3 linked regions of the Xenopus tropicalis genome follow. The protein of the gene in region 3 binds, or shares a complex with, the protein of the main gene of each other region. Links are inferred from orthologs where the notes say so. Each region holds a gene or a part of one and is shown on either strand. Other genes may lie near its edges.

Evidence for each region.
Region 1: drc1 (region 3) and ccdc153 share a complex: the UniProt entries of both Homo sapiens proteins name them as parts of the nexin-dynein regulatory complex. The link is inferred for Xenopus tropicalis from reciprocal best matches to the Homo sapiens genes DRC1 and DRC12.
Region 2: drc1 (region 3) and iqcg share a complex: the UniProt entries of both Homo sapiens proteins name them as parts of the nexin-dynein regulatory complex. The link is inferred for Xenopus tropicalis from reciprocal best matches to the Homo sapiens genes DRC1 and DRC9.

The regions. Positions count from the first base shown.
Region 1 is NC_030683.2:80,326,078-80,330,497, forward strand, and holds the start of ccdc153 (coiled-coil domain-containing protein 153), read left to right. Parts: upstream 1-1,616; 5' UTR 1,617-1,805; intron 1,806-1,855; exon of another isoform or gene 1,856-2,031; intron 2,032-4,420. UniProt on the Homo sapiens protein: Component of the nexin-dynein regulatory complex (N-DRC), a key regulator of ciliary/flagellar motility which maintains the alignment and integrity of the distal axoneme and regulates microtubule sliding in motile axonemes.
Region 2 is NC_030681.2:100,505,725-100,510,149, reverse strand, and holds the start of iqcg (dynein regulatory complex protein 9), read left to right. Parts: upstream 1-1,621; 5' UTR 1,622-1,759; intron 1,760-3,165; 5' UTR 3,166-3,187; coding exon 3,188-3,301; intron 3,302-3,850; coding exon 3,851-4,098; intron 4,099-4,425. Other genes in the region: rpl35a (60S ribosomal protein L35a), read right to left, coding at 169-179. UniProt on the Homo sapiens protein: Component of the nexin-dynein regulatory complex (N-DRC), a key regulator of ciliary/flagellar motility which maintains the alignment and integrity of the distal axoneme and regulates microtubule sliding in motile axonemes.
Region 3 is NC_030681.2:159,590,787-159,593,096, forward strand, and holds part of drc1 (dynein regulatory complex protein 1), read left to right. Parts: intron 1-1,130; coding exon 1,131-1,264; intron 1,265-2,310. UniProt on the Homo sapiens protein: Component of the nexin-dynein regulatory complex (N-DRC) a key regulator of ciliary/flagellar motility which maintains the alignment and integrity of the distal axoneme and regulates microtubule sliding in motile axonemes.

The sequences.
Region 1 (4,420 bases), on a different chromosome or scaffold from region 3:
CGTTCTGAATCAGGCGCTGCTGTGCCTTCTTATACAATTGTGGTAGGTGCATTGCAATTGTGTCAAGAGAATCACCCCTTTGCAACTGCAGTGACGCCAGAATTACAGGAAAAAATGCTGCATTGTTGGAAAAAAACATGGCAGTTGCATTGCCTACACCTAAGGGCTCATGTACATCCACAAGTGCAGTGAGTCAAGTGCAATTTTAAACAGTTCTCTTTGCTGGCTTCATTTCTGGTGTTCTGCATTGTAAGTAAAGTACACCGCGACTTTTGTCTAAAATTGTTTTTTTCACACTGCACGTCAGTGTGGTTTACAGTTGTTCCCTGGTGAGAAGCAGAGAAACCAATAACACGTAATGGTTCTCAGTACAACCAATGTTTCTGTACAAAAAGATATGAAGCAATTTTATAATATATATGGCATTAGTAAGCCAAAATAGTATAATAAATGTGCTGCCTTATTTCCAAGTGTGCACACAGTTTAGGACTCCAAAACTTTGGTAAGTTTACCTTTTCTCATTAATGAATGACTTATTGGGCCCTCTACACTACTGGGCCCCCCTGCAACCACAGCATCTGCTTCCTCAGTAGTTACACCTGTTTTTTTGCACACATGTAAGCAGTCTTATACTGAAGGTTCTGTAAAATTCATTGTAAGGTTGAAGACACTCAGAGCGCCTAGTATCAGCTACTTGACATGGCTACAGGAATAACCAATACTGATCATTTACTGATAATTGTCTCTAAGGGACACATTTACTAATCCACAAATCCGAATCCCGAATGGGAAAAAATCGAATTGGAAATGAAAATCTTGCAACTTTTTCATCGCCATCGCGTTTTTTTTTCGTATTTTGCGTGATTTTTTCGTCGCCGTCACGGCTATCATATTTTGTGCGACTTTTTAGTCGCCATCGCGGTTTTTTTGTATTGAGCAATACGTATTGAACCAATCCGATTTTTTCGCGACGGCGACGAAATAGTCACGACAATTTGTGAAAAAGTTGTGACGGCGACGAAAAAGTCTTGACAATTCGCAGAAAATACCGATCATTACGGAAAAACGCATTCGGACGTTCGTGGATTAGTAAATGTGCCCCTAAGTGTGGTTTAGCAGAGGCAATTCTCAGTATTGTCTTTGGCAGGGTATTTTCTGGGGTTTAGTAGCCGTCACAAGTAGCTGCTACTAAATAGCTCCACGTGTCTTTACCCAGAGAGGATCTAAACCCAAAAACATTTAGCATAATTTAAGAAGATTTAATTTAAAGCAATTTTACATTATACATTACATTTCAAATGTTCAGCGGTCTTAGGGCTCTGGCACATGGGGAGATTAGTCGCCCTAATCTCCCCGTGTGCCAGAACCCTTAAAGTTATTTGTAAATGTCATTGCTACTGAAAATGATATTTCTACTATAAATACCTTATACACACATAATGGAAAGCTGGGAGTGTAGGATAGCATAGAGATGTTTTTTATTTCATTATACAAAAAACATTTTACGGGTATAGATTACCTTTAAGTTCAGACTCTGAATCTTTAATATGTTTTGTTTTGTTCTTTTTATTAAGGTGATTTGCATTAACAAATTTCTTGTTTTTGTCTCTTCTCAGAGATTTACCGGTACCTTGTTGTTATACATCTTTTGTTACCATTACAGAAACCTAGCAACCTTTTGTATACAATTCTCTCTGAATCGGCTGGGCAAGGTTTGTGGGCAGGATCTTAAAGTGTCTTCCTGCTGGGTAAGCATTTCTCAGTGAATATCACTTTGTTGTTCTGCTGAACAGGATTCATTGCAGGTAAGGGCCACTTGCTGATATTTGCTGTTTAAAATACAGTATGTTATAGAGTTGCGTATTTGGAAAGGCAGCATGTGGAAAAGGAAGATGGCATCGTTATCATGGGCAGCCCCTGCAGTTGCTATGTCTCCACTATCCTCAGGCTCTTCAGTGTTGCTCTAGGCCTGACTGGATACCTGCATCTAATGAGAGACAGAATCAGAAAATAATCAGTTTGCAACGAAAGGTAATCAGATATAGGATATCTTATGATAAGCATACAGAGCAGGGTTGAATGGCTCCTAACTATGCAATGCTGCAAAACTACTTTGCAATGGATTGAAATGTAAGAGGTCATTTACAACCTTAAGTTCAGCGTGCAGTTTTTGATGCAAATCACCATGTTTTTTAATTCAAACTTAATTGTGGGCACACAGCAACTTGCACATGCTGTGTCAAAACAAACAGAATTGAGCAGTGCAGCTAACATTTTTTAAGAGTTAGGATTGCATCACTTCCGAGAGTCAGCATTAAAATTACGTTAGTGTTTAGTTCTTTTGTCACAATTCTATTGCACTTTGGTTCATCACAATAAGCAGGATGAGGAATGACACAGTGGTGCTTGGCGCAACTATACAGAAGTTGAGGAGGTGTTACTTTTAGGACTTCTTTACATGTTACATCAACACACAAAACTAATTTCTAGGGATGCACCAAATCCAGGATTCAGTTAGGGATTCAGCCAAGATTCGGCCAAATCCACACTCCTGGCTGAACCGAATCCAAATGTTTTCTAATATAAACCTGCCGTGGTAAATCACAAGCTGAAGAGCATGCTGTTCTTTGAGTGCCAACTATTATACTGGCATATACATTTTTGTTCCTAGAGCATTGCACTTTTGTTCATAAATGAGCACTAGATTGGTGTCCAAACTATTTTTATTAATACAATGCAACATTTTTCACTGTCTGATTTTTACTATAATATTGCTTAACACACACACACACATATATATAGTGAATAATGTACCCTCTTTTTTAAAATATAAGGATAGCCATTCCACAGAGGAGTTTCGTGACCATGAGTTCTTATATCCTCTTATTTTACAACAGTGGATACATTTAGTTATTATAAATACACAAGTTTCAGTGAGCCATGTGTCAGAAATTACATCATTAAGCATCGTTATAACTGATGCCATCACTAAGCATAATTTTTAAGGATATAATTATATGATATTCATGGCACTTCTGTGTTATACATATAGGGGCTGATTTACTAAGACACGATTTCGAATCCAAATTGGAAAAATTCCGATTGGAAATGAACATTTTTTTTGCGACTTTTTCGGTAATTTTGTGATTTTTTCGTATTTTTTTCGATTTTTTCAGCGTCTTTACGATTTTTGCGTAAAAACGCGAGTTTTTCGTAGCCATTACGAAAGTTGCGCAAAGTCGCGCCTTTTTCGTAGCGTTAAAACTTAAAAGGCGCGACGTTTCGCGCAAGTTTTAACGCTACGAAAAAATCGCGACTTTGTGCAACTTTCGTAATGGCTAAGAAAAACTCGCGTTTTTACGAAAAAATCGTAAAATACGAAAAAATCGCAAAATTACCGATCATTACGAAAAAAACGCAATCGGACGCATTCGGCCCGTTCGTGGGTTAGTAAATGTGCCCCATAGTATATATAAACACAAACATATATATATATAGTGTACTTATGTCTTGCACAAAAAAATCAATTATAATTATTATAGTCCAGTGAAATTCTTTGCATTTAAGTATTGTTGTGCTGTAGGGTTGCCACCAGCCCTGTATTTCAAGGATTCAGATTCAGTTAAAAACCGGGTACAAATCCTCTAAACTGCATCCAGTGGACACAAGTTTCCATGGGTCCTTTTGCCATAAGGCAAGGTGAGAAGTCTCTCCTTTTCCAGGGGTGGCAAAAAATACTCCTGTAATTTTACATGGAGAATTCCCAATAGCTTTCTCCATTTACATGCAACTGCAATCTCCGCTGACCAATACCCAGTCTGAGAGAAGAAAATGTATGTACAGGTGATGGAAACATAAGGGGTTGGAAGCATCAGATCTGCCTTCTTGGACAGCAAAGAGCCTTGATGTGCACCCGCAGATTTCCCAGTGTGTGGAGCTCAAGGCAATATTCTCCAATATTCTGTGTGATCTGTTGTACTAATTTACTGGACAGTTTGTAAACATTAATCTAGTCATCTAAATTATAAATGATTTAGCAATAATATGGAACAAGTAGCACATCTGTCATCATCTTGAATTATATTTAGTACCATGGCCTTAAGCTATTTCAGTTAATTTTGTTAAGGTGGTCATACATGTTAAGATTTGTTTGCTATTTATATAGTCTTCATTCATAGGTGTATAGTTATGTTAGGTGGGGTCCTTCCCTACTAGTCTCACTAGTGTTCCTGTGCTAAGGGTAAGAGAACATGGTTTTACAATAAAATAAGGCAGTGAAGAACTCACATATAATGAGGGGCCTTAGTGTGACAAGTAAACTTAAATATTTTGGGGGATGTGTGGTGCTAATTTTTCAATATTAATTTAATATTTTACATAGGCCATAATTTGTGCATTGGCAATTATTAGTATGTATTAG
Region 2 (4,425 bases), about 59 Mb from region 3:
GAAAGAATTTGAAGAAAATAAAAAGTAGAACCAAAAGGTAGGCTTGTCACTTTCATGTCACAATAACAACTAAGATTAGCTGAATCGCAGAAGTAAAGCAGCCTAAATAAGTGACATGTAAATAATTGCTTTACTACTATGATACAGAATTAGAAATATTGCTCATACCTTCCAGACATGTTGCTCTCCTAATGTCCAGATGCAGGCAGGACTGTAAAAAAAAAAAAAAAAAAAAAAAAAAAGACGTAGAAATATTTTTGTTAAACTGCAAGCTTTATGTGCTTTAATTATATTGCGTTTGATTTAATTACTTTCCCTGAGAAATGTCACAGGAAATAGATACAAACAGTGGCAAATGGAACCTCACAAATACCATAACACTATCTAAAAACATTTGGTGATGCATACACAGTTATGCATACACAGTTATGCAGACAGTTTCATTTGCAATCACATGTAACACTATGTCATTAAGAGTATTAATGATTCACTCCAAGTATTGGAGACCTTATTCTGGGTTAACATTTAAAGAGAAAGAGGTGGATCTTTTTCTCCAAGAGGCACGCCACAATCTTACCTGCATTTCCCAGGAGCCCTTATACCTATAGTCTTACCTGTGCACAATGCAGTAAAAAGTACCTATACTGTGCCTGTGCAAGGGATCCAGGTAAATACAGATAGATGGTGGTGTGACAGTTAGAAAGATGCCCACGGCCAACATATTGCTTCCCCTAGTAAATAAGACTACTTGTCCTTTTAAAGAAAATCTAGGACAAGATCAATATTATCTTTATGACACCTCTCTTAAATGAACAATAAAAACATCTTTCCAAATATGTCATATGAAACAAACATTTTCCCTTAACATGTGTGACTTTGCAATAGCAAAAAGCATGATCAGGAAGCACATCTCCAGCAGGCACACACCCGAGTGACCCCACAATTACCCGCTTACAAAGGCAGGACTTACGATCCTAAATTGGCTTTCCAGCAGCAGCTGACTTCTATAATAGAACTATACGAATAGGTGGCGGCAGAAAACCTATAGACAAGTACAAGCCAAGCTGCCCAGCACTTCAATTAGCCAAGCTTATTCCCCGTTTGTATTAAGGGACAACTACTACACAAAACTCGGCCTCTCAGCGAAGGGAAACTTCCTTAGGTGTCTGGCACAACTGTCGCCAAAAGAACAACTCGAAAACAAGTTTGCTGCAGTTGTACAGCTGCGAAAATAAGCCGGCAATGGGAAAATCCTATCAGCCTAGCTCCAATGCAATCCTCTCCGTATCCCAAACATCCCGTCTCCCACAGGCTCAAAGCCAGGCCCGGCAAATAACGCTCAAGTAGACGTCCCCGTTCATGTCGGTATTTCTCTCATACGACCCATTTAACTGTCCATTTTTCAGTATTAATATTTGACTATACACTAAGCTCACCCGCACTGGTAACCAAGATGGAGGAAAAGGAAGGGGGAGCGCTTTGCATGACGGGAAATTATGAACGTAGCATGCGTGAGGTGTCCATGTGACTGCCTAATGTAAAAGGGTAAAAAAAAAAAATAAATTAAACCCAATTTCAGGGCAATGAACTATGATCTCTAAGAGAATTGATTTTAAATCTAAAATCGTGAGATAAATGCAATAAATGTTAAAAATGATATATAACCGGCGGTACGAAGACGAATAGGACGCAAGGACTCTCGGGCAGGGTACGATCCCCATGGCAACTGTATGTAAACATTGGGTGTTCTGACGCACAGGTAACTTGCAAATCAGTTTTCGCAAAATCTGTATTGGCATTATATATTTTACATTGTACGTGAATGTGCATATAGCTACATAGTTGGGGTAAAAAGGGATGCAGTGTGTGTTTGGTAGACGTTACCATACCTGAGTAGTAGTAATACAGGGACTTAAGAAACATACACTGGCTAAGATACAGGCTCCCTGTTCTATAGTAAATGCTTTTTATTTGGCTGGATATAATACTTTAATGGATAAAACATAAAATTCTAATTGCATTATCCTTTAGTTGTATTACAAGAAAAGTAAGCAGTTTGTTATGTAGGGATGCCCCTCTTCCAATACTACCAGTGTCCACTCTCAGCTGCCCTTCCAATCCATACACCAACCCATTTGCATTCACATTTGGGCAAGAAAAAGTCACCCAGTTGTCCGTTATAAACACATTTGTGTCTTTGAAAACATCTGAATTGATCCATCTTATATACTTCCTTATGAAATTGCATTCAGTAGGATGGTGCAATGGAATGTTCTAGGTTTCCCTGGTCAGTTCTTAATCTGGAAATGCTATTGTTAGTACTGTGTTTGGAGTTTCCTTATTGGCTCAAAGGGGACCTGCCACCCAGACATAAAGTCAAAGTAATTTTTAAATTTAACATGAAACCCAAATTTTTTTAATGAAAACATCCATACCTGTTATAATGGTATTTCAAATCTTCAAATTTGTCTCTGTGCATATGAGTTGTTAGCAGTGGTTTGGGCAGCACACTAGTCATTAAATGCATAGTTTGCGAAGAACATAGACACACATATAATCAGGGCACATGCTCTTCGCGAACTATACTAATTGTATACATACAAGTGCACCCAGGTGTTAAACTATAGTGCGAGGTTAACTTTATCAATAGTCATTAAATGCAAGCATGAGCACCTAAAACAAATTTGGGCTCATGGAGACTTCTGGGAAATGTAGTATGGGCTCTGCACATACAGGTTGCTATGGCAACAGAGCGCTATTAAAGAGGAATTGCCTCTTTGTCAATCTCCTTTGTGCTTTTGCTGTTTACTATGCCCCATGGTTGATAATAGCATTATAATTTTTTTTACCTTAGCACATTCTAATTATTACAAGCTTTTTGGTGCCTTTTTGGGCTTATTAGGGTGGGGAAGGTAGATTTTCACTGTTTGTGTGTGGATACAGAAATCCTTAAGAAAGGTTACACTGTAGTGACCAAAACACTGAACTTTGCACATGATTTTGTAAATATATTTGATTTATTTGCTAAAGATCCATGCTTGCAGAACTTTTTGGGGCTTAGTGTTTGCTTATCTTGCATTGTTTGGTAGGCACCTTTTAAAAAGTGTTTTATCCAATTTGCAGCAAACTAAAGGCTTTGCATTCTGACACATTCATACCTTGCAGGTCAAGTAAAACTCCTTGAAAGATGACATTGTCTATGCTGGATGCACTTCGGGCGTGCACTGTACTGGAGGACAGCCTAGATCAACTCTCCGTTCTGGGAAACATCATGCCTGTATCTTACCATGGCCGCAGTGATGTTAGTGACCATAAACATTTGGCTGTGATTGGGTATTTTGTGGAATCTAACTTTTGATGTTGAATATCCTAAAAAGTCCTGCAAATGTAACCTGGTTATAAAGTTAGCATATATTATCTAGTGCAGGGATCCCCAACCAGTGGCTCGTAAGCCACATGTTTTTCACCAACCTGTTGGATGTTGCTCCCAGTGGCATCAAAGCAGGTGCTTATTTTTAAATTCTTGGCTTGGAGGAAAGTTTTGGAAGCATTGTAGGCTGCCAGACCACATAGGAGCTACCAGTAGCCAATGACAGCCCAAAATAGACACCCCCTGGACCTTTTTGCGTGCTTGTGTTGCTCTCCAACTTTTGATTTTTGCATGTGGCTCATGGGTGGAAAAAGGTTGGGGATCCCTGATCTAGTGCAATACAAGATGCTCTGGGAACAAATATTTTCTGAGCAAACATTTATATTAAAGCAGCGTCGTTCGGTCTGGAATATTTGTAGTGACTGTTTTTGCCTTTCTTTATAATTAGTCGGCTTTCTAATGTCTTGTGTGTAATTTTAGATAGTTGGAAATGAAATTGGAAAGATTCTAAAAACACAGAGGCAGCTGGAAGGAAAATTTGAAGACCTCATGGGGAAACGAGCAGAAGTTCGAACAACCTCTTTCCCTCTGTCCAGTAAGATGCTGGATCTGACAAAGCAGGTGGAAGAAACTAGCGGAAATCTAAAATTGACCAATGAGCAGTTTATTCGAGTAGTGAAACAGAGTCCTCTAACTGCAGATAACCTCAGGAAGGTCCAAGCCGACAGGTGAGACAGATGCTTCTTTTTGTTTGTAAGCGTCATGGCAGACGGGGAGATTAGTCACTGCGCGACAAATCTCCCTTGTCGCGGGCAGCTAATCTCCCCGAAATGCCATCCCATTGGCTAGATTGTAAATCGCCGGTGGGATGGCATACACAATTGTATTAAAGGGGAAGGTCGATACATTGATAATCTAAGCTGTAGTTTAATAAAGTCTGAGGCTGATGCCACACGTGGTGTAGGGCTGATTTTTTCAGCCCTACGCCTGCTACTTGTGCCTGCACCCGAATGAATGGAATACGCTCAGGGGCAGGCACATGTAGCCGATATTCG
Region 3 (2,310 bases):
ATAATAATTCCCATAACCTCCCCTAATAATTCCCATAACCTCCCATAATAATTCCCATAACCTCCAATAATAATTCCCATAACCTCCCCTAATAATTCCCATAACCTCCCATAATAATTCCCATAACCTCCAATAATAATTCCCATAACCTCCCTAATAATTCCCATAACCTCCAATAATAATTCCCATAACCTCCCCTAATAATTCCCATAACCTCCAATAATAATTCCCATAACCTCCCTAATAATTCCCATAACCTCCCCTAATAATTCCCATAACCTCAATAATAATTCCCATAACCTCCCCTAATAATTCCCATAACCTCCCATAATAATTCCATAACCTCCAATAATAATTCCCATAACCTCCCCTAATAATTCCCATAACCTCCAATAATAATTCCCATAACCTCCCCTAATAATTCCCATAACCTCCCCTAATAATTCCCATAACCTCCCCTAATAATTCCCATAACCTCCCATAATAATTCCCATAACCTCCCCTAATAATTCCCAAAACCTCCCCTAATAATTCCCATAACCTCCCCTAATAATTCCCATAACCTCCCATAATAATTCCCATAACCTCCCCTAATAATTCCCAAAACCTCCCATAATAATTCCCATAACCTCCCATAATAATTCCCATAACCTCCCCTAATAATTCCCATAACCTCCCCTAATAATTCCCATAACCTCCCATAATAATTCCCATAACCTCCCCTAATAATTCCCATAACCTCCCCTAATAATTCCCATAACCTCCCATAATAATTCCCATAACCTCCCCTAATAATTCCCAAAACCTCCCATAATAATTCCCATAACCTCCCATAATAATTCCCATAACCTCCCCTAATAATTCCCATAACCTCCCCTAATAATTCCCATAACCTCCCATAATAATTCCCATAACCTCCCCTAATAATTCCCAAAACCTCCCATAATAATTCCCATAACCTCCCCTAATAATTCCCATAACCTCCCAGTTGCCGTTGCCCTTACACATTTAGGTTTTACCCTGTAGCAAGTTACAGCATTGGGAATATACTGCCTGGCTGAATGTTACACGTGGCACTTTGGGTTTAGTTGCCCTTTAAGCCAGCTCACTGCTCTGTGCTTTGGTTTGAGGATGAAGATGGAGATGCGGGAGAATCCAACGCTGACAGCAGCGCAGGGGGGAGCCATGGACCCCAAGGGCTTATCCATCCCAATGAGGTTCTGGGGGCCATCAAGGCTTTTGTTATGGAGTTCCAGAAACCAAGGTTTGTGCAGCGGGTACCCCTGGCATTATCCTTACATGCACTATTCCCCTGTACTAAGCACAATTCAGCAGGAACAGCCCCTAAGTTTGCTCATAGCCTGTACAGAGAGATACCATAAAACTATGGCACATAGGGATTCCCCTGTACTAAGCACAATTCAGCAGGAACAGCCCCCTAAGTTTGCTCATAGCCTGTACAGAGAGATCCCATAAAACTATGGCACATAGGGATTCCCCTGTACTAAGCACAATTCAGCAGGAACAGCCCCCTAAGTTTGCTCATAGCCTGTACAGAGAGATACCATAAAACTATGGTACATAGGGATTCCCCTGTACTAAGCACAATTCAGCAGGAACAGCCCCCTAAGTTTGCTCATAGCCTGTACAGAGAGATCCCATAAAACTATGGCACATAGGGATTCCCCTGTACTAAGCACAATTCAGCAGGAACAGCCCCCTAAGTTTGCTCATAGCCTGTACAGAGAGATACCATAAAACTATGGCACATAGGGATTCCCCTGTACTAAGCACAATTCAGCAGGAACAGCCCCCTAAGTTTGCTCATAGCCTGTACAGAGAGATACCATAAAACTATGGCACATAGGGATTCCCCTGTACTAAGCACAATTCAGCAGGAACAGCCCCCTAAGTTTGCTCATAGCCTGTACAGAGAGATACCATAAAACTATGGCACACAGGGATTCCCCTGTACTAAGAACAATTCAGCAGGAACAGCCCCCTAAGTTTGCCCATAGCCTGTACAGAGAGATACCATAAAACTATGGCACATAGGGATTCCCCTGTACTAAGCACAATTCAGCAGGAACAGCCCCCTAAGTTTGCTCATAGCCTGTACAGAGAGATACCATAAAACTATGGCACATAGGGATTCCCCTGTACTAAGAACAATTCAGCAGGAACAGCCCCCTAAGTTTGCCCATAGCCTGTACAGAGAGATACCATAAAACTATGGCACATAGGGATTCCCCTGTACTAAGCACAATTCAGCAGGAACAGCCGCCATTCTCAGGAATACACAACCAAATA